Sus scrofa: one gene and its partners. The protein of the gene in region 1 interacts with the protein of each later gene in a pairwise test. Links are inferred from orthologs where the notes say so. Each region holds a gene or a part of one and is shown in the gene's direction. Other genes may lie near its edges.

The links.
Region 2: the proteins of L3MBTL2 (region 1) and BEND7 interact in binary tests that used the Homo sapiens proteins (3 or more experiments, as listed by UniProt). The two-hybrid records come from large-scale screens. The link is inferred for Sus scrofa from reciprocal best matches to the Homo sapiens genes L3MBTL2 and BEND7.
Region 3: the proteins of L3MBTL2 (region 1) and PHF10 interact in binary tests that used the Homo sapiens proteins (3 or more experiments, as listed by UniProt). The two-hybrid records come from large-scale screens. The link is inferred for Sus scrofa from reciprocal best matches to the Homo sapiens genes L3MBTL2 and PHF10.
Region 4: the proteins of L3MBTL2 (region 1) and STAC3 interact in binary tests that used the Homo sapiens proteins (3 or more experiments, as listed by UniProt). The two-hybrid records come from large-scale screens. The link is inferred for Sus scrofa from reciprocal best matches to the Homo sapiens genes L3MBTL2 and STAC3.
Region 5: the proteins of L3MBTL2 (region 1) and MEAF6 interact in binary tests that used the Homo sapiens proteins (3 or more experiments, as listed by UniProt). The two-hybrid records come from large-scale screens. The link is inferred for Sus scrofa from reciprocal best matches to the Homo sapiens genes L3MBTL2 and MEAF6.
Region 6: the proteins of L3MBTL2 (region 1) and TBC1D9B interact in binary tests that used the Homo sapiens proteins (3 or more experiments, as listed by UniProt). The two-hybrid records come from large-scale screens. The link is inferred for Sus scrofa from reciprocal best matches to the Homo sapiens genes L3MBTL2 and TBC1D9B.

Annotation. Positions count from the first base shown.
Region 1 is NC_010447.5:7,260,634-7,264,133, reverse strand, and holds part of L3MBTL2 (lethal(3)malignant brain tumor-like protein 2), read left to right. Parts: intron 1-790; coding exon 791-1,022; intron 1,023-1,388; coding exon 1,389-1,465; intron 1,466-1,643; coding exon 1,644-1,748; intron 1,749-2,396; coding exon 2,397-2,544; intron 2,545-2,903; coding exon 2,904-2,986; intron 2,987-3,201; coding exon 3,202-3,436; intron 3,437-3,500. UniProt on the Homo sapiens protein: Putative Polycomb group (PcG) protein. PcG proteins maintain the transcriptionally repressive state of genes, probably via a modification of chromatin, rendering it heritably changed in its expressibility.
Region 2 is NC_010452.4:48,257,594-48,261,088, forward strand, and holds part of BEND7 (BEN domain-containing protein 7), read left to right. Parts: intron 1-176; coding exon 177-328; 3' UTR 329-2,178; coding exon of another isoform or gene 2,179-2,192; 3' UTR 2,193-3,495.
Region 3 is NC_010443.5:573,898-577,213, forward strand, and holds the end of PHF10 (PHD finger protein 10), read left to right. Parts: intron 1-983; coding exon 984-1,092; intron 1,093-1,360; coding exon 1,361-1,549; intron 1,550-1,820; exon of another isoform or gene 1,821-2,623; coding exon 2,624-2,709; 3' UTR 2,710-2,816; downstream 2,817-3,316. UniProt on the Homo sapiens protein: Involved in transcription activity regulation by chromatin remodeling. Belongs to the neural progenitors-specific chromatin remodeling complex (npBAF complex) and is required for the proliferation of neural progenitors.
Region 4 is NC_010447.5:22,548,508-22,550,919, reverse strand, and holds the end of STAC3 (SH3 and cysteine-rich domain-containing protein 3), read left to right. Parts: intron 1-152; coding exon 153-219; intron 220-407; coding exon 408-457; intron 458-748; coding exon 749-834; intron 835-1,018; coding exon 1,019-1,070; intron 1,071-1,158; coding exon 1,159-1,296; intron 1,297-1,468; coding exon 1,469-1,567; 3' UTR 1,568-1,912; downstream 1,913-2,412. UniProt on the Homo sapiens protein: Required for normal excitation-contraction coupling in skeletal muscle and for normal muscle contraction in response to membrane depolarization. Required for normal Ca(2+) release from the sarcplasmic reticulum, which ultimately leads to muscle contraction.
Region 5 is NC_010448.4:93,586,183-93,590,205, reverse strand, and holds the start of MEAF6 (chromatin modification-related protein MEAF6), read left to right. Parts: upstream 1-1,223; 5' UTR 1,224-1,224; coding exon 1,225-1,314; intron 1,315-2,561; exon of another isoform or gene 2,562-2,649; coding exon of another isoform or gene 2,650-2,658; intron 2,659-2,752; coding exon 2,753-2,868; intron 2,869-4,023.
Region 6 is NC_010444.4:78,710,367-78,713,866, forward strand, and holds part of TBC1D9B (TBC1 domain family member 9B), read left to right. Parts: intron 1-38; coding exon 39-189; intron 190-675; coding exon 676-890; intron 891-2,915; coding exon 2,916-3,033; intron 3,034-3,500. UniProt on the Homo sapiens protein: May act as a GTPase-activating protein for Rab family protein(s).

The DNA of each region.
Region 1 (3,500 bases):
TCCCGCCCTTGAGCTGAGGGCTGAAGGATCCCTGTCCTGGTGGCTGCTTTGTGACCTTCTGGGGGGATTTGGAAAAGCACGGCTCAGTCCCCACACCTGAGCCTGCAGCGCCCTGGTGCTGGAAAAGCCCCACAAAGCTTAGTCACCCATCCCCTACCCCCGGCAGGACAGCACCAAAGCCTCCAGAATCTCCAGCTCCTCCCCAGGGGTCCCCCCAGGGCAGCAGCTCGTGGGCATCTGTCTTTTGCAGTGTCAGAGACGTGGCATCCTGACTGAGGCACTGTGGAAGCTGTTCAGAGCCACTGCTCAGCGGGCCGGAGCTGAAATTAGATGTACGGAGGCAAAGGGCGCTCGGTTCTCTAACCCCGAGGCCTGTGCGCCATCAGCTGGGGGCCGGAAGGTAGAGGGGACGTGGGGTACCCGTGTGACCAGAGCGCAGGTCCCCGAAAGAGCACGAGGCTGGAGCCCTTGGAGCCCAGCTCTGCTACCCGCGAGCCTGTGCGACTCTGAGGAAGTCCCGCCTCCCTGGGTCCCTGTTTCCTTTGTCTGGAAAGTGACTGTAAGTCCCGTCACCGTGACTTACCCGCACACGTCGTGACCATCACGTCATCAGTGTCACCCTAGGGACTTGGAGCCAGGGCTGAACCTGGGGACAGGAGGGCTCACCTGCCTGCCTCCTGACCTGGGCTTTGGGGCGCCTCCGCCGCACCCGCCCCGTCCTCTGGCTTCTTTGAAGAGACGGAGCAGGGAGAGGCCGCGTGGCCACGGCAGGCTGGTGCTGTCGTTGCAGATGGTGGAGAGCATGAAGTACCCCTTCCGGCAGGGCATGCGGCTCGAGGTGGTGGACAAGTCCCAGGTGTCGCGGACCCGCATGGCTGTGGTGGACACGGTCATCGGGGGTCGCCTACGGCTCCTCTACGAGGATGGCGACAGCGACGATGACTTCTGGTGCCACATGTGGAGCCCCCTGATCCACCCTGTGGGTTGGTCACGGCGTGTCGGGCACGGCATCAAGCTGTCAGGTAACGTGGGTCTGGCTGAGCGGTGGGGTGACTGTGTGCCTTGCGGGTGGCCGTGCTTGACCAGGGGTCCCAAGAGGTCGAGGGACTTGACCAAGGCCACTTGGCTTGAAGCATAAAAACTGATTGAAACCAGAGGCTACAGGCCCCATCCTCTCCCACGTCAAGTGGGAAGAGAAGAGTCCGGGTCTTAAGGGCTGAATCCCCCTCCAGAGAGAGGCCCTGGGCCTTCCGCCTCCTAGTGCTGGGGTGGCGCGAAGATACGGATTAGAGCCTGGGCAAGGCGGCCCCACACTTCTGGGGGAGGCGTGGAGGTGGCCCTGGTAGCAGCTTCACTTCTCTCTTCCCCATCTGTCGTCTCCCTAAAAGAGAGGCGCAGCGACATGGCCCACCACCCCACCTTCCGGAAGATCTACTGTGACGCTGTTCCTTACCTGTTCAAGAAGGTGAGGCCCAGCCCTCAGGCGCGTTCCCCTTGGCTGCACGTCCACCCCGGGCCTGCAGCCTCCTCCCTGGCATGTTCCTGCCCCCTCGCTTCCTTCCAGGCCGATGGCACACCATGGCCTGCTTCCCCCCATCGCCTGGGCCAGCCCGGAGTTTCCCCAGCTGCCCCGTTCCTTTTAGGTTCGAGCCGTCTACACGGAAGGCGGTTGGTTTGAGGAGGGGATGAAGCTAGAGGCCATTGACCCCCTGAATTTGGGCAACATCTGTGTGGCAACCATCTGCAAGGTGAGCTTGGGGCAGGCCCCCGCCTCCCGCCTGGCTTCCTGCGGGCACGGGGGTGGCAGAACTCGGCACGCAGTGTCCATCCCGTCTTCCTGGTACTGGCTGCTCTTTGGCACCTGCTTTTTCTGAGTGGAGCCTTAGCTCCTCACTCAGCATCTGCTCTCAAGTTGCGGTCAGAGCCAGGCTGGACAGGTGCTGATTGAAGCCCTGGCCTGAGCCTGGCTCTGTCCCCTCGCTGGGGGCCTTCCTGCCAAGACCTGCCATCTCTTTTGAGTGCTGGCCTGGCCAAAAGCCGCAGCTGGCTGGCTTTGCTGCAGACCTTGCCACCGCTGCCTGGGGAGCAAACTGGGGGACATGCCGATTGTCCATCCAGCACGTCTCCAGGCTGGGCCCATGTGCTCACCCCGAGAACCCAGTGACCAAAGGGCAGATGGCGTTCCTGCTGGCACAGCATTTGCTGTCTAGTGAGGAAGCCCAGAGATCCCACGATTACGGGCTGCACGAGTGCTCAGTGCTCTGAAGTGGCTCAGGGACGGCTGAGAACTGGCTCCAGGTGGATCCACCCGCCTCGTGGCCCCATTGCCCTGGGCCGGGGGTGCAGCTCAGGAGGCCGTGTTCTGTCTGCCCCGCCCCCTCCCCACCGCCCACTAGGTGCTCCTGGACGGCTACCTGATGATCTGTGTGGACGGGGGGCCCTCCACAGACGGCTCGGACTGGTTCTGCTACCACGCCTCTTCCCACGCCATCTTCCCAGCCACCTTCTGCCAGAAGAACGACATCGAGCTTACACCCCCGAAAGGTAAGACGAGCCGGAAGGGGCAGGGGGAGGCCCTGATTCCTGGCCTTGCTAGACCCTGCTAGACCTTGGAGCTTGAGCTGCCTGAGGACTGGAGAGGTGACAGAGCTACCCGAGGTCACCACCAGCCCTTGGTCTGGGCTGGCTCGCCCCATGGCTGGTACGTGGCTCGGTGAGCAGTCAACCACCTGTAGGACAGAACCAGGTCCTAGCAGGTACCAGCCAGGGGAGGAGGGAGAAGGCTCCTGCAGAGACTCCGGGCTGGATCCTGACCGAGCTGTGGGCGCCCTTGGCCATGGGGGGCTTGGCGGAACTCTCTCCGGCTCCCCTTCGGCCCTCAGCCGGACTTTCCACTGCTCCAGGGTACGAGGCTCACACTTTCAGCTGGGAGACCTACTTGGAGACGACCAAGGCGAAAGCGGCGCCATCGAGACTCTTCAACATGGTGAGGGGACCAGGAGGCAGGGGCCCGGGGTGGCCTTGGGACGGCCCTACCTGTTCCCACTCCTTTCCTTGAGTCTGTGCTGCTGAGACCGGCCGCAAACTCCGACGCCAGCCCCGAGCCGAGCAGTTCAGCCGGTCCCTTTCCCAGGGGGTGGTGTGGGCACAGAGTGCGGTGGGATCGCTGGTCAGAGGAACCTGCCCTGCTCCCTCCCCCAGGACTGCCCCAACCACGGCTTCAAGGTGGGCATGAAGCTGGAGGCCGTGGACCTGATGGAGCCCCGGCTCATCTGTGTGGCCACCGTGAAGCGGGTGGTGCATCGGCTCCTCAGCATCCACTTCGACGGCTGGGACAGCGAGTACGACCAGTGGGTGGACTGCGAGTCCCCGGACATCTACCCCGTCGGCTGGTGTGAGCTCACCGGCTACCAGCTCCAGCCGCCCGTGGCCACAGGTCTGGGCTCTCACGGCCCTAAGCGGCTCTTGACTTTGCTCTTCCTTTTCCTTCCTGCCAATCA
Region 2 (3,495 bases), on another chromosome or scaffold:
TATTTCGTTTAAATAATGGTACTAAAACCTGTAATGGGAACCAGCTGAAGCCAAGAAGGGAAAAGAAAGGTGAAAACTATTATGTACACTGGAGTTTTTAAATTGTATTACTGTATTCGGTAAAATGAATGTGCTCCCTGAAACTAATGAGATTTGTGTTTTATGTTTGTAACCAGCAGAGGTAGCTGACGGTGATGAAAGGCTGGACGGCGTTTCTCTACCCCCAACAGGTAAAACACATTTCCATTTTCATCACCCGCTGGAAAATACAGCACGTGAAAATATTTGCATTGAAAATGTTTTTAACATCAGAGATGCAGATGCTTGAGCAAACTGCTTCTATAAGAGACCCAGCCCCAGCAATCAGGGTGTTCAATGCCCTGCGTTCAGAGGGATTTTTCACATTGAATATGAAAAGCCACGGCTTTCTCACATTCTGTTTCATCTCCTTGAAAACCTGAGAGCAGCAAGTCCTGACAACTTAGTGTCACCCCAATTTGCCTCCCCAAACCTTGGGACATTAAAAATTTTTTTTTTGGTCTTTTGTCCTTTCAGGGTCGCACCCGCGGCATATGAAGGTTCCCAGGCTAGGGGTCTAATCAGAGCTGTAGCCACCGGCCTACACCACAGCCACAGCAGCACCAGATCCGAGCCATGTCTGCAACCTTCACCACAGGTCATGGCCACGCCGGATCCTTCACCCACTGAGCGAGGCCAGGGATCGAACCAAAACCTCATGGTTCCTAGTCGGATTCGTTTCCTCTGTGCCACGATGGGAACTCCAAAAAAAAAAAAAAAAAAAAAAAAAAAAAAATTTAACACGAACTGATATTTCTCTTTAGATTAGGGATCATCGGTTTTATGATGAAATTCGTGTCCCTTCTGTCATCTCCCACCTCCCCTCAAAAGGCTTTGAGAAGCAGTGTCATTGCTTTTCATGTAACAGGCACCCAGTGAATCCTGTGTTTCGAGTGACTGAATAAGCCAGCTAGCATGGGTGGCACTCCTAGCCATGTAACCGGATGAGCCGAATATAGCATTTCACTGAAACCTCTGCTGCAGGGGTAACACCATGCCCTGAATACTCACTTCCTAATATTTGACTCTCAAGTAATACTTCTGACCCTGGTCCCCTGCCTCAGCATCAGCTCCCACCGGAGCACCTGATGGCCAGGTGTCTGATCAGTGAGCCATGTGACAAAGAGTTTATGCCCTCAGTCTCAAAAGGTCTTTATTGACTGTCCTCAAAATACCTGAAGATTCTTGTAACAGCAAAACCCAGATGCCCCCCTCCAAAAAAAAAAAAAAAAACCTGGAATGAAAAAACTGTGTTTTTTCTCCACTTGAGGTGGTAAGTTTTAAATTAAATCCAGCAAGTATTAAAGGAGTCGCTAGTCTGTGTAGGAACTCTGCGAGGGCACGTGTTATTGCCAGTACTTATCCTGAGTTCATAGTGTGAGACAGGCATTGTTAGTGAACTTCAGACCAGCCAGAAAACTCAGCCTTGCAAATGATAACCGTGCTTTCTCTGTCGCTGAGTAGCTAAGCAGCAGATCGATGGGCAAATAAATGAAATGAGCCACAGAGGGCAAAAGCAACCTGCTTCTATCAAGTTCTTACTGTACAGGCATTACAGAAATTACAGAAAAGGGGCTTCTCTTCTTGTTCAGCTGTTTCCACACTTCTGAACCGAGAGAACTGAAATGCATGATCTCTATTGTTCCTTCCCAACCTGCCCTCCTCTGAATTATCAGGACCACTCTTAGCCTTGATCTTATCACCCACTCCCAGTCATTGCATGAAAGGCTGCTGCTAATGATGAACTTGTGCCTTCCAGGCTGGAGGGATACCTTGCTGGTCTAGTTGTATTTTCCCAGGTTCCTCCCCTGCCAGCCCCGTTGACCCCAGGGCATTTGCACAGCCTGGGCTGCCATCTGACACAGTGGGCTTGTAAACGGTACTGTTAATTGGAAAACCCCACCCCTTGAAGTAATAATACATTTGCCTCTTCCTGTCTGAGGATGGAAGCAGAGAGATGTTTCAGATAAGGAACTCGAGCACAGGATGATAGAACTACCTCACGGAAGTGAAAAGAATGTCAAGGACTCCGAGAAAGAAGGAACATTAGAGATCATCTAGTCCCGTCCCCTCTTTTTATCCAGTCCTTTTATTTTACAGGTAAAAAAGCCTGAGGCCCAGAAACACTAAATGACTTTCTCAAGGTCTCACAGCTGGTTGGTGGCCAGGCCGGAGCCCAGGCCTCTCAACTCCCAGCCGTTCCACCGCGTAGCTTTCTTACACCTTCTCTGCATGTTTCCCAAAGATCCCAAGAGTTGCTGGATGTTCTTGCTCATCCCTTTAGGGTTCCATTTCAGTGTCTCCCCGTCGTCATGGATAGTCTGTCGTAAGTCGGCCCGAAGTTGCCTGCAGTGTCAGCCCACAGGCTCTCCCTCAGATCTGACCCACGGCTGTGAGGCCCTACCCAAAGCAGGAGGAGGCCGCCCCCGAAGGTCTTTTCACTGGACCCCTGATAGATATTTGATCCGAGTCACTAAACGGCATGATAAATAAAACCACTTAGCATTTCAACATGGAGAAGAGAAGGCGTGGAGTGGTGCCCAAATTTTGCAGTAATGGCTTGAAGTAATCTTGACCATCCTGTCTCTGGAGTGCCTCTCAAGTGAGAATCCCGCTCTGGGGGCTTTGAATACAGCACTGTGACTGAGTCCTCCCTCCTTACGTGCGTCCTAGGAGACCCTCCGCAGCACGAATGTCACCTTTCTCACACATGCAGCTTCCTCTCTGGATTTGAGACTTACTGGCCAGGCCGTCCTCATCTGGTCTGAGCCGGCACCCACCGGTCCTTTTTAAGGATTTAGCAATGCCTTTATTACCTTGTCAAGGTCTTTTTCCTCTCCTTCTAAACTCGTGTGTGTTGAGGAGGGGTGGGACAGGTGTAGGAATCCCCCAGTGTTTCTGTGAACCAGAATCAGCCAGGTCAAGGTTACAGTCAGGCATCAGATGACATTTACCTCAATCCATGGCGCTTAAGCGATTTTCTATTTGTCTAGTTTTATCAAAAATGGATATAAATTTCATAGTGGAAAAATACATCTTCTTCTATTTCTTTTCCCTCAACCCTGTCAGTAAGTGCACTTGAGCAAGGCCAGGACTCCGTCCTGACTGAGTTAGGTTCTGGTGAACAAAAGCCGCCCTCAGACCAGAGCAAGGCAGAGGCCACCACCCAGGGTGGGGAGACAGCGCTCAGATAAAGGAAAAAAACATCCAGGGTGAAGGGCAGAATTTGGGAGGGTGGGGAGAGTACAGAGAAGAAAGTCAAAATAGTGGTATCTAAAATTTTGAAAAGCGGCTTCTGAATGTGAAGTAGAATAGTGCAGAGCGCACCTAGGCTTAGGTTTTTGTTTGTTTTTGGTCATCAATTTGTTTTCTTTTACATACGTTTTAGAAATTAATATAGAAAAGTGGAAGGAAGAA
Region 3 (3,316 bases), on another chromosome or scaffold:
CTTTTTCTCCCAGTCTTTCTACACGAACGAGGCTGGCCCTGGCCCCCCTTTCGTATGCGGCCCTGCTTGCTCCCCTTTCCTCCGCTGTTCCACACCCACGTGGCTGCGTGAAGATGCTCTGACGGTCAAGGCCGATGTTCGAATATCCCCCCCCCCCCCGAGTTTTCGGTTCAGGGAACCTCTTCTGTGTTCTTTTCCGTGTGTTTCCAAGTGTTTCTTAAAGTCCAAATGCCTTCATTGGATTGTGCATGTTTTTAATCTGAAAAATGAACAGTGCTTAAAATATAGGGGTGTCTGCCTGTTTTTTAAGTGAGAATTTTATTATTCTGCTTATCTGAAAACCGCGTTTCTCTTTTCCGTCTTGTATGTCGTAGCGAATGCTTTTTCCCTAAGTGTAGGCACTTGTACGAAGGTGTCAGATGTGCCAAGGGAATAACCACACAACTCGGTTTTCCATAAACATTTCTGCACATGACAGTGTACGCATGAGACAGCCTTCAATTAAAAACGTTAAAACGTTGATTTTCGAACTTGGACTCTGTAGATCTAGTCTTACAACTCTGGGGAACATCCGTTTTTAAACAAAGTCGGCATATAAGCTGCTTAGAACAGTCTTTGGGAACAAGCCTGACTGCCTTGACCTGCTGCTCCCTCGGACTTGGACTTGCCCTTCAGTTCGTCGTGCACTTTGCATCGTGTTGGTCTTTCCTTCCAGCTCATTACACAGGTCTTACTGGGCGCCCAGGGAGTGCAGGATGTTAAATTTAGTGCTGAGATCATACCACAGACAACATTTAAAAAGGAAGTAAACCTAAGGCTGTAGTCAGTAGGCCATAAGCTGATTCATGTCAGGTTCTGTCTTTCCAAGAGGGCCTCCCTGGCAAGTTACCAGAAGTAGGGACGAGCCAACGCTGTAATAATTCCTGTTGAACCCACAGTAAGTTCTTCTGGCGTGAATTTATAGCCCTCTTCTACCCTTCCAGCCAAAGGCCATTCCAAATGCTCTATGTGGAATTTGTCTGAGGGGTAAGGAGTCCAACAAGAGAGGGAAGGCTGAGCCCCTTGTGCACTGCTCCCAGTGTGACAGCAGTGGTAAGTACTGACGCGGCCTCGCCTCCTAACCGCCGGTGGGATGTTTCAGAATCTAGATTCTTAGCTGTCAGCTAGCCTTGCACCAGAGTCATCCCGTGCATAAAGAGAGCCACGTACCACCTTCTGCACGGTGATGAGGGCTCCCTGTCTCTTTGGCAACTAAACACGGGAGCCGTTCTTGAGACACCCAAGCAGACGCGCATCTTGTCCTGCCCAGTGAAGCTGGAGCTTGGCGTGTGAGACCCGACTAACCCTGGTTTTGGTTTAGGCCACCCTTCTTGCCTGGACATGAGCGTGGAGCTTGTTTCTGTGATTAAGACCTACCCGTGGCAGTGCATGGAGTGCAAAACTTGCGCCGTGTGTGGGCAGCCGCACCACGAGGAAGAGATGATGTGCTGTGACGTGTGTGACAGAGGCCACCACACCTTCTGTGTGGGCCTGGGCGCTCCGCCGTCAGGTAAAGAGGAGACGGGACGTGGGCCTTGAGCGAAGGGGCTCGCCTGGCGCTTTCTTTTTCTTTTTCTTTTTGAGGCCACAGCATAAGCACCGTCAAGACCCTTCTGTTCACATGGGACCAAAGCTGTCATCATGTCCCCTGCTTCTCACTCCTAGACAGGCTGACTGCAGATCCAGTGAGCTACCAGGCTGCCTACATGTTCTGGAAGTAGAGCTCAGTATACAGAATGAACAGCATTTTTCTACCGAAAGAGCTGAAGCAGTACCATCCGTTTGTTTCAAAGCCTTGATTTTATTTTTACATGTCACTTAGAGACTTAACAAAAATGACTATACCTTTAAACATATTCAACCAGATTTCTATAGATTGAGGCAGCCTAACTTCAGAATGAACACAGAATCAAAGAATAAACCACAGTAATTGGACTGAACATTACACACACAATTGTGTAATTTTAGAACTTATTTGCATAGTTTACACTGCCTAATACTTTATAAAATGTATGCCTAGAACTAGGTTTCCTGGGAGTCACTGAGATGCAAACAGCTTAGGAACTATTCAGAGTCCTGTAGCAGTTCTGATGGAGGGTGTTGCCCGCTGCATTACAGCACCGTGACCACATTTAAAGTGCTGTGTCAGCATCGTACACCAGGACTTGCCAGGAGGCTGCAGACACACAGCTGCCACTGAGCAGCAGCAGAGGCTTGAAAATAAGCCAAACTCAGGGTCAGGGTTGATGTTAGGGTTTGTATGATCAAACTTTTTAGCGTATGATAGCGTTTAAGTTTCAGAAAGGGTTATAGTAAGTTTTTAAAGGCCCCTGTCATTCCTTCCTTCCTCCCATGGCCCCCCGCCCCTACCCCGTGCACTTCCCGGGGCCTGAAGACATGGATTATCTCAGAGGGAGTTGACATTTTTCTCCTTAAATTAACGAGCTCATTAGTGCCTGTCCCACCACACGTCCCCTGAGGATTACTGTCAGCAGCCAAGGCTAAAGGAAGGAGCTAAATGGGTTTAAAAGTTAGTCCTAAAAAGTGAAATTCATTCTGTATTAACTAACAATTTTCTTCCTAGGTCGCTGGATTTGTGACTGTTGTCAGCGAGCCCCCCCAACACCCAGGAAAGTGGGCAGAAGGGGGAAAAACAGCAAAGAGGGGTAGTTTTTTGACCCCAGTTCTGTAACACGCATTTAAATGAAATACCTGGTGCCAGTTTATTTACAACATTCTCATTTTTATGCCAATAAAAGATTTTTCTTTGAAATTAACTGTGTGCTTAAAATCTGCAAGTTGATTTATTTCTACAAACTAATTCCTGAAACCAGTTTCAGGTAGAGAGAGAGATGGTTCCATCTTCCAAAAAGTCTTTCTTTCTTTCTACTTTGGCTCCCTCCATAAATTCAGTCTTGGTATTAGGCAGCTTAATTTGAAATACTTAACTATTTGTTCATTAGCCTCAAAGTTGCTATTCATTTCATGAAATTTTCCTAATCTATATCCTTTCTGGTCCACCATGGATAGCACAGCAAAGTTAATTAATAACGGAAGAATTTTAATAGGAACCCAAGATGGTAAAACTGCCAAGGAGCTGATGAGATCTGGTGCAGCTGGGTTTAGAACTGTCATTACCTAGCACTGGAACCTGCCTACCAGGAAATGCTGTTAGGCTAGGAGGTGCTGTCCCTATTTGGGGTGCAGGGCGGGACTTTAGTCCCTGCACTTCAGACTTGCTTTTGGTAACTTGCTTTTGGTAACTCTTGGAAGCACT
Region 4 (2,412 bases), about 15 Mb from region 1:
TCCCTGCATTTGGCAGATGGTTGACTAGATATTTCCCCTAAGGCTTCTTCCAACCCTAAGATACTATTCTGTAGTTCTCTGGCCTGACTGTAGAGTCAGAGCAAGCATGGGTTTCCAAGACAGCATCTTCCTAACTCTGGTGCCCCCTCCAGCCTCTAGCAGCTATGATGGAAGAGGAGCCAGAGTCTGCCAGACCAGAGGAAGGCAAACCCCAGGATGGTGAGTGACACCTGCCTCCATCCAGAGATGGAGGAGTGTTGAGGCTCAGCTGTGCCACAAGGGATTGGGGGCGGGGGGCGGGCAAAGGGCATCTCAGGTTTGAGAAAAGAGTCCCTGGAATAGAAGGATAAGAGATTGAGGGCTACCTCCAGGAGCCAGAGACAATTTGTTGGTGTTTCCCATTCCAGGAAACCCTGAAGGAGATAAGAAAGCTGAAAAGAAGACACCTGATGACAAAGTGAGAATCTGAGAATCTTTCTCCCTATGTGGACCCCAGTCCTCTCCCCAACCCAGGTCTGACACCACTCATGGCCTTAGCAGAAGCTCACATTTATTCCATGGGTTCCCAATCACCCTTAACCTGCCTTCTCCACCACCTCACACACGCAAACCAATAAATTCCTCTTAGTTCAGGGACATGGAGGAGAGTTGGAATGTAGTGTGTCTAGCAAATGCCCTTGTCTTGGCCTCCTGCCCCTCAGTGTGGGACAGAGGAGCTCTGAGACTCATCACCCCCTTTCACCCCCAGCACAAGCAGCCTGGCTTCCAGCAGTCTCATTACTTTGTGGCTCTCTATCGGTTCAAAGCCCTGGAGAAGGACGATCTGGATTTCCCGTGAGAGGCCTTAGGATCGGGGTGGGGTGTACTGGGAGTGGAGAGGGGAGAGCCCAGCTCCCTATGGGAAAGGAAAAGGGGGGATTCAGGGTTTGGAGCCTATTTGGGGCTGGACCTGGGCACAGCCAAGGGACTAGATGTATAAGGCCCCTAAATCTCAGAGGCTTCTTCCTTCCTCTCCCAGGCCTGGAGAGAAGATCACCGTCATTGATGACTCCAATGAGGAGTGGTGGCGGGTAAGAGAAGTGGCTGAGTCTCAGGTGGGACATGGGTTAAGTTAGGACTTGAGATTGTGAGATTGATTCTGCTTACCATGTCCTCTAGGGGAAGATAGGGGAGAAGGTTGGATTTTTCCCTCCAAATTTCATCATTCGGGTCCGGTCTGGAGAGCGAGTGCACCGTGTAACAAGATCCTTCGTGGGGAACCGCGAGATAGGGCAGATCACTCTCAAGAAGGACCAGGTAGCTCTGGTGCCCCAACTCAACCCCAGGCGCAGAGGCTTCTCTGCAAACCATCTTCTTTGCAGATCTTCACCCATTAATGGGACTAGATCGGGCCTCCAAAACTCAGAACTCCCCCCTCAGCTCTTCTGTTTTCTCTTGATTCCTCCCTTCTCATCCTTTCATCCTTTAGATTGTGGTGCAGAAAGGAGATGAAGCCGGCGGCTACGTCAAGGTCTACACCGGCCGCAAGATGGGGCTGTTCCCCACCGACTTTCTAGAGGAGATTTAGGCTTGCAGACGCCTGCTGGCGGGAGATACCCAAACCCCACTATGGGCAGGCCCAGTGGAGGTTGGGAAGAGAAGGGGCGAAAGCAACTTTACCGCTGGGTGGGGGAGAGGTGGGAAGGCCCGCCGGAACGTGACGGGGCTTCTGGGAAGGGACTGGTTCCCGCCCCCCTCCCCCTCGGAGGGCGTCGCAGACTTGGTGCCTGGAGCAGCCTCACCCGCAACCCCTCAAGCCCAGCCTTTGAGAGCTGGAAAAAGAAGGCATCTCCACTCGGAGGCGTCCCGAGGAGAGGGGGGTTGAGGCGAAGTGTCCAATGTTGCGAATTTATTAAAGTTTTGACAGAAGTTAGAAAAGTTTGCTGTTTAACTGGGAGCCGAGGGGAGAAAGGAGAGGGCCCACAAAGGGGCGGAGAATCTTCTCCAGCCGTCTCAGCTAATTACCATTGGGTAATTAGACCCGCCTGGGCTGAGGCTGGTGCGAGGTGGGGAGACGGGTGCGTCCGCCAGGCAAGGCCTCGGTCAGTGAAGAAAACGGTGCCGGACTGGTGTCACTGCTTCTGAGCCGCGAGGAGCAGGATCCTGTAGCAAGGTAGGTGCCCCCCTACTCTTAACGAGCGATTTAAGCCTCTGGCAGCCCCTTTCATTTCCGAACCTGGCGCAGTTCCGAGCTGGGCCGCCAGGGGGCGATACAAGATCTCGGTTGGAGTGCGAGGGACGGGAGGGGCGGGGGGAGAAGCGAGAACTGGAGACACCAAGCCAGAGACCCTGGGCCTGGGAGGGGGTGGGGTGCGTGCCGTCTCCATGGCAACACTTCCTCTTGTCCTCCGGGAACTGAGCGAGCGAGGCCGG
Region 5 (4,023 bases), on another chromosome or scaffold:
CCCACAGAATCTACCAAAAAACCTAGAATCAATAAGAGAGTTCAGCGAGACCCTGGGTTACAAGATCAACATGTAACAGAATGCAGTAGAGAGAGAAAAAAAAAAGGATTCTTAAATTTAATCTGAATTCTAGAAGGAGAGAGAAACTGAGGTAGAGGATATCCTAGGAAAGATAGCTGAATTTCCCAGAACTGGTGAAAGTACAAATACACAGACTGAAGAAACACAGAGACTTTCAAAGCAAAGCAAAAAGAAAGCAAGAAAGAAGGAAAGCAGGCAAGCAAGCAAGCAAAATGGAAAAAAAAAATCCTACCTGGATTTCTAATGAAATTGCAGAACCCTGAAAAATGGAGAGGAGAAATAAACAGGGGGGAGATGAAAACAAAGTTAACAATATCAGGCTTAATGATTTGACTTAAGTAGTGCTTACTTGCCAAGCACTTACCTTAAGTGATTAATTCCTTATGGAAATTGTATTAGGTAGGAGCTATTATTACTTCCATTTTATAGAGGAGGAAATTGAGCCAAGTGAAATTGAGTTACCTGCCCAGGGTGGGACAGCTTATCAATGGTAGAGGTAGAATTTTGAACTAGGTAGTTAGTTTGTGTCATTAACCACCACACATGTTTGTCTCTCTAAAGGGCAACGGGAAGTCTTTGAAAGGTTTTAAGCAGGGGAGTAACACATTTGTTTTCCCCAAACAAATCATCCTGGCACCACTGTGAATAATGGATTAAATGGAGCTAAGAGTGGAAACGGGAGCTCCTGGAATAATGTACCTAAAATAGGGAGGGCCTGGATGAACGAAGGAGGTGGCAGACAAAAGAAAATAATTTGCGGGCTCTTCTGCGGTCGAGTCCACAGGAATTGGTTTTGGATTGGATTAAGGGGGTGAAGGAGGGTGAGGATGGTACCCAGGTTTCCGACCTGGGCAATTCGGTGGACAGTGAAAGTCATTCACTGAGGAGACTGCGGATAAGTCTGATTTTGGACACGGTGAATTTGCGGTGTAGAAACGCGGTTAGGACCAAAAGCAGAACCCATCAGTGGGGTTCTTTTGGCAGGGCGCGCGCACGCGCGCGCGCGCGGGAGTTCTGCGCGGCGGGGCTCCCCTCCGGAAGTCGCCTGCGCAGGCGCAGTGCAGAGGCGGGCGCCCCCTGGCGGGCGGCGGCGCGCTAGGACCGCCCCCAGCCTGGCGCCGCTGCCGCCCGCCTCAGCCCAACATGGCGATGCACAACAAGGCGGCGCCGCCGCAGATCCCGGACACCCGGCGGGAGCTGGCAGAGCTCGTGAAGCGGAAGCAGGAGCTGGCGGTGAGGGCTAGCACCGGGGGGCGCCCGGGTGGGGACCCCGTGCCTGCCCCTGCCTCCAGACCCCGGCTCCGCCGCGCCGGGCGGTTCGTTACTCGGTGGGCGCAGCGCGGCGCCCGGGAGTCCGGCGGCCTGAGGACGGCTGCGCAGTGCGCGGCCCGCCGGCGCCTCGGCTTCCAGGCGGTGCAGATCCGGAGCCGGGAGCCTGGGCTGGGGGCGGGGCGCGGAGCCGGGGAGGGGGAGGGGGACTAGGCGGGCGGGGGCGTGGAGGAAGGATGGCGCCAGGGGGTGGGGGCTTCTGTGCTGCAGCCCTGCTAAAGCGAGTAACCGTGAGCTCTGCGGGGTAGGCGAGGGCGAGCGGGTCCATGATCTTTAAGGAGTGCGGGGCGGGCGGATCGGTGGGCTGTAGATTGGTCCGGGCTTGCTGGTGGGCTTTAGGTGGGGTGGTGGGGTAGGAGGCGAGTGTGGGAGGGACACTCACACATCCTGCCTGGTCTTTGGAGGATGGAGGGTCTCGTCCTTTTGGGGACTAGGAGTAGATCCGTTAGATGGGGTTTTTGATGGGCAGGGATGTGATGTGTTTGGGAACATCTTAGGAGGTGACAGGCGAGGGGAGCGGACTCGGTTAGGGAATTAAGAATTGTGACACGCAGCCCGGGTCCCTTGGACCGTGGCGGCTAAGCCCTCCCTCCCCTCGCGTTTTGGCTTGGGCACCGGGAGGCCCATCTCACCTGAAGCTGCCCTTCCAGGTTTCCATAGCAACCGGCAGCCCAGTGCTGGCGGCCTTTCGGAGCCTACGGGGAGGGGAGCCAGTTGGCGCTGGAAGGCTGCTTACCCTTCCCTCTCCTGGTAGCAGTACCTTTTATGCGTGGGAGTGGAGACTGCTCTTTTTTTTCCTCCGCCCGGGTTCTTGACAGCTGGGTTTCCACGAAGCCTCTGAGTATATACAAACTTTTGTACATTTTTCTGGGGACAGGCTCTCTCTATTCCATTCTGTCCTCAAGGGATACAAGACAGGTATAGACTGCCTTAGTGTGAAACACCCTGCCCCTGCCCGTGTCATTCCTCCCTCCGCAAGGCTGGTTTGGTGTAGTTGAGCTTGAATTTATAAGTCTGATATAGACTTCAATTTGGGAGTTCCTGTCGCGGCTCAGCGGAAACGAATCTGACTAGTACCATTAGGATGCGGGTTGGATCCCTGGCCTCACTCCGTGGGTTAAGGATCCGGTGTTGCCTGAGCTGTGGTGTAGGTTGCAGACTTCGGCTGGAATCCTGAGTTGCTGTGGCGTAGGACAGCGGCTGTAACTCTGATTCGACCCCTAGCCTGGGAACTTCCAAATGCCTCAGGTGTGGCCCTTAAAAAAAAAAAAAGTTCATTTTGGTTAGGCTTAATGCAAGCATGTAAAAGGTATTAACCACTTCCTTATTTTTCGTCACTCAGGAAACACTGGCAAACTTAGAGAGACAGATCTATGCTTTTGAAGGAAGCTACCTGGAAGACACTCAGATGTATGGCAATATTATTCGTGGCTGGGATCGGTATCTGACCAACCAAAAGTGAGTGTCAAGCCTGTAGTATTTGTATGATGTCCTTGTAATATTTGTGCTTAGGACTGGGTAATTTCTTGGTAGTGGCTTTGCAGGGAGGCAGTAGTAAAGTGGGGTGGAAAGAGGTCTGCATTTGAGCTTGGACTCTGGCTCAGCCACTCCTGGGTAATCCCAGATAAACTCTACACCAGCCCCACACAGTCGGAGAAGTCCCGCCAATGGCACAGGGTTGTGCAATGCTTCAATGAAATACAGCATGTAATACACTCCTGTCATGTCATGAGTCCCAAGATTTGCTATACCTGTGTGGCAACTGTATCACAGTTTCATTTAGTAATATTCTTTCTAAAAAAAAAATTTTTTTTTTTTCTTTTTAGGGCCGCACCTGCAGCATATGGAGGTTCCCAGGCTAGGGGTTCAATCAGAGCTGTAGCTGCTGGCCTGCACCACAGCCATAGCAACACAGGATCTGAACCACTCCTGTGACCTACCCTACAGCTCACAGAAATGCCTGATCCTTAACCCACTGAGCGAGGCCAGGGATTGAACCTGCATCCTCATGGATCGGAGTCAGATTTGTTAACCACTGAGCCACACGGGAACTCCTAAAAATTTTTTTAAACTTGCTAAACTTTTTGGAAATTTCTCAAATCTGCAGAGTACTTGAAAGACTAGTTGATCTCTTGATACCCCTTACCAGCATTCAGCAATTGTTAACTTGTTGCCACATTTGCTTTCTCTCTCTTCTTTCTCCCTCTTAATATATAGTAACACACACCACTATTTCTATGCTTAAGTTTTTTTTTTTTTTTTTTAAATTGACACATAGGAAGTTGCAAAAATAGTAAGAGAGGTCCCATGTACCCTTCCCCCAGTTTTCCCCAGTGGTTGGGTTTTACATAACCATATAGTACAATAGCAAAAGCAGGAAATTGACACTGGTACAATGTGTATATGTAGTTCTGTCATTTTATCATGTCTATAGATTCCTGTAACCACCACTGCAGTCAAGATACAGAACTATTCTCTCACCACGAAGAGCTCTCTCGTGCTACTCCTTTGTAGTTAGTTATATCTCCTCTTCCGTACATATATGAAATATGTATTTATACATTTATATTATATATATGATAATTATACATATTATAATTATTTGCTAAAGCA
Region 6 (3,500 bases), on another chromosome or scaffold:
GGGACTTACCCACGGGTGCCTGTGTGCTGTTCCCCCAGGCCAAGGAGAAGATGAAGGAGGAGTCGTGGAACATCCACTTCTTTGAGTTCGGGCGCGGCATGTGCATGTACCGCACGGCCAGAACGCGGGAGCTGGTGCTGAAGGGCATCCCCGAGAGCCTGCGGGGGGAGCTGTGGCTCCTCTTCTCTGGTGAGCTGCCCCAGCCTCCATGTGGGAACTCGGCTGACCCCAGTTGGGCCTCTTGAGTCGCCAGGCAGGCCCTGGCAGCCTGTACAGGGCAGAGATGGGGCTCTCAGCTGCGATGGGGCTAGTGTGGGCCCATGCCAGCAAGGGCGTTGCAGGGAACAGATGCCAAGGGATGGTGCTCTCCCCCCGCAGTGGGAGGCAGACAGGCCCCCAGAGGCCTCTTTTCCTTGGGACAGACTCCAACAACATTCCTACCCTTGGCCACTCGGATGATTTGAGGAGAAGGGCAAGCCAGCCATTCAGACTTGGGTGGGGTGTCTCCTCCCAAGACAGTGATGGGGGAAGCTTTGCCTGGCACCTTGTAACTGGCCCCAAAGTGCCACTTCCCTTCTTCGTTGCCATGACAATGTCTCCACCCTGCCCTGTCGTTGTCCTCAAAGTCCTGGAAGGGGATGGGGAGGGCGGCAGCTTCCAGCTGTGTCTGCACAGGGGCCTGGAATGAGATGGTGACTCATCCTGGCTACTACGCTGAGCTGGTGGAGAAGTCCACTGGGAAGTACAGCCTGGCCACAGAGGAGATCGAGCGAGACCTCCACCGCTCCATGCCTGAGCACCCCGCCTTCCAGAACGAGCTGGGGATCGCTGCACTCCGCCGGGTGCTGACCGCCTACGCTTTCCGAAACCCCACCATCGGCTACTGCCAGGTACAGGGGCTCGGCAGGGGCCAGAGGCAGCCCCTCCCATCAGAGGCTCACAGGAGCAGCTTGCCACGGCCCTGGGCCTGAGTGATGACCTCACACACCTTTGGTTGTGCCCTCTTCCCCAAGGACAGTCCTGACCACAGAAAAAGATGAAATGAAGAGCAGTGTTCATTGCTCACCTCACCCCCATGCCATATATCAAGTTGTCTTCTATGTGCTTTTGGTCTGGGCCCCGAAGGCATCTGCTTGTTTTATGTGTGTGTTAAAATACACATAACAGGGAGTTCCCATCGTGGCTCAGTGGTTAACGAATCCGACTAGGAACCACGAGGTTGCGGGTTCGATCCCTGGCCTGGCTCAGTGGGTTAAGGATCCGGTGTTGCCGTGAACTGTGGTGTAGGTCACTGACATGGCTCGTATCTGGCGTTGCTGTGGCTGTGGCATAGGCCAGCAGCTACAACTCCAATTAGACCCCTAGCCTAGGAACCTTCATATGCCGCAGGAGTGGCCCTAGAAAAGGCAAAAAGACAAAAAAAAAAAAGAAAAATACACGTAGCAAAACTTACCATCTTAATCCTTTTATGTGTATAGATCAGCAGCATTAAGTAGATCGTTGTACAACCATCACCACCATCCATCTCTAGAACTCAGCTTGCAGAACAGAAACTGTACCCATGAACCAGCTCCCGTAGTTCCCCCTGGCAACCACCATTATCTTTTCTGCCTCTGTGATATTAGCATCATACAGCATTTGACTTTTTGTGACTGGCTTATTTCATTGGCAAAATGACCTCAAGGTTCATCCATGGTGTAGCATGTGTCCGAATGTCCTTCCTTCTTAAGGATTCCGTTGTATGTATACTCCATGCTTTGTGTATCAGTTCATCAACAGTGGCTGCTTGGGTTGCTTCCGCCTTTTGGCTCTTGTGAGTAATGCTGCTATGAGCATGCATGTGCAGCATCTGCTCCACGCCCTGCTTTCAGATCTTTGGGGCCTATACCCAGAAGTAGAATTGCTGGATCATATAGTGATGGGATATTTAATTCTTTGAGGAATGGTCATAGCATTTTCCACAGGAGCTGCACCGTTTTACATTCCCACCCAGAGTGCACACAGCGGTTCTAGTTTCTCCCCACCCTCGCCCACATCAATTGTTTTCTCTCTCTTTTTTTTTTTTTTTTCTTCTTTTTGTCTTTTTAGGGCTGCGCCCATGGTACATGGAGGTTCCCAGGCTAGGGGTCCAATTGGAGCTGTAGCTCTTCAGCTATACCAGAGCCACAGCAACACCAGATCCCAGCCACGTCTGTAGCCTACACCACAGCTCACAGCAACACTGGATCCTTAACCCAATAAGCGAGGCCAGGGATCAAACCCGCAACCTCATGGTTCCTAGTCGGATTCGTTAACCACTGAGCCACGACGGTAACTCCTATTTTCTCATTTTTTTGATAATAGCCATCATAGTGGTGTGAGGTGATATTGCAGTCTTGATTTGTGTTTCTGGAGGCATTTGATTTTAAGTCTAATGGGCATTTTCTTGGCCAGGTCATATGGCTTTCTCTTTCCCTTTGACTGTTTCAGACTGGATTTCAGAGAAACCACCTTCCGTAGGACATATTACCAGAGCATGGAAAACCAGTGTACTGGCTCTAAATCATTTTTAGGATAATTTGCCACCATGGAAGCTTTTTCCTGCAAGCTCTGCTTTGCCATGGCCACCCTGAAGCTGTGTGGCTGGCACACACAGCTCACTCACAGCCTCTTGGCCCTGTTCTGCACCCGCGACCCCAGACACCCTGAAGAAGGGCCTTGCCTTCTTGAGTGTCCAGATGCCCTCTGGTCCAGTTTGAGGAACTTGGCTGACTGTTTTTGCCAAATCAAATTTCCTGCAAATTGCTTTTTAGCAGATTGCCTGGAGTGGGGCGGGCTGATTTGTTGTTGCCAGGCTTGCTTGTAGAGCGAGGCCGAGCAGGCCTCTTGGGAGAGGACGGCTCGGGGAGCACCCCTCACCGTCTCTGTGCCCACAGGCCATGAACATCGTCACCTCAGTGCTCCTGCTCTATGGCAGCGAGGAGGAGGCCTTCTGGCTGCTGGTGGCTCTCTGTGAGCGCATGCTGCCCGACTACTACAACACCAGGGTGGTGGGTGAGTGCCCGGGGCTGGCGGCTTGCTGGGGTGGCGGGCCTCCCCGGGCCAGACCTGTGCTCAGCATGTCCCACGGGTGAGCCCTTGGAGGCCCCAGGCTGCAGGCAGTCACAGCTCCCTCTCCGAGCTTAGGAAGCTGTGAAACCTGCGCACGACTAGAGCAAGCGTCTCTCCCAGACTTAATGCAGATTCTCTAGGAGTTGCTGACAGAGAAGCTAGCTTAGGGCCTGACTTCACATTGACCCAACTCTTCTTAAATGTTTTTATTTCCAACATCACAGCTAAAGAGTACATCCCCCCATCAACTGTTGTGAACTCACAGCTAGTAGAATCCATGTTATTAAATGGAAATGCGCTTGCAAATATGTTTAATTACATTTATAATTAAGTCAATTATTCTAAAATGTCCTTCCCCTACTCTTTGTCTTGGGGGTTTCCACTTTGGGGGTCCTATAGAATTGCATCTG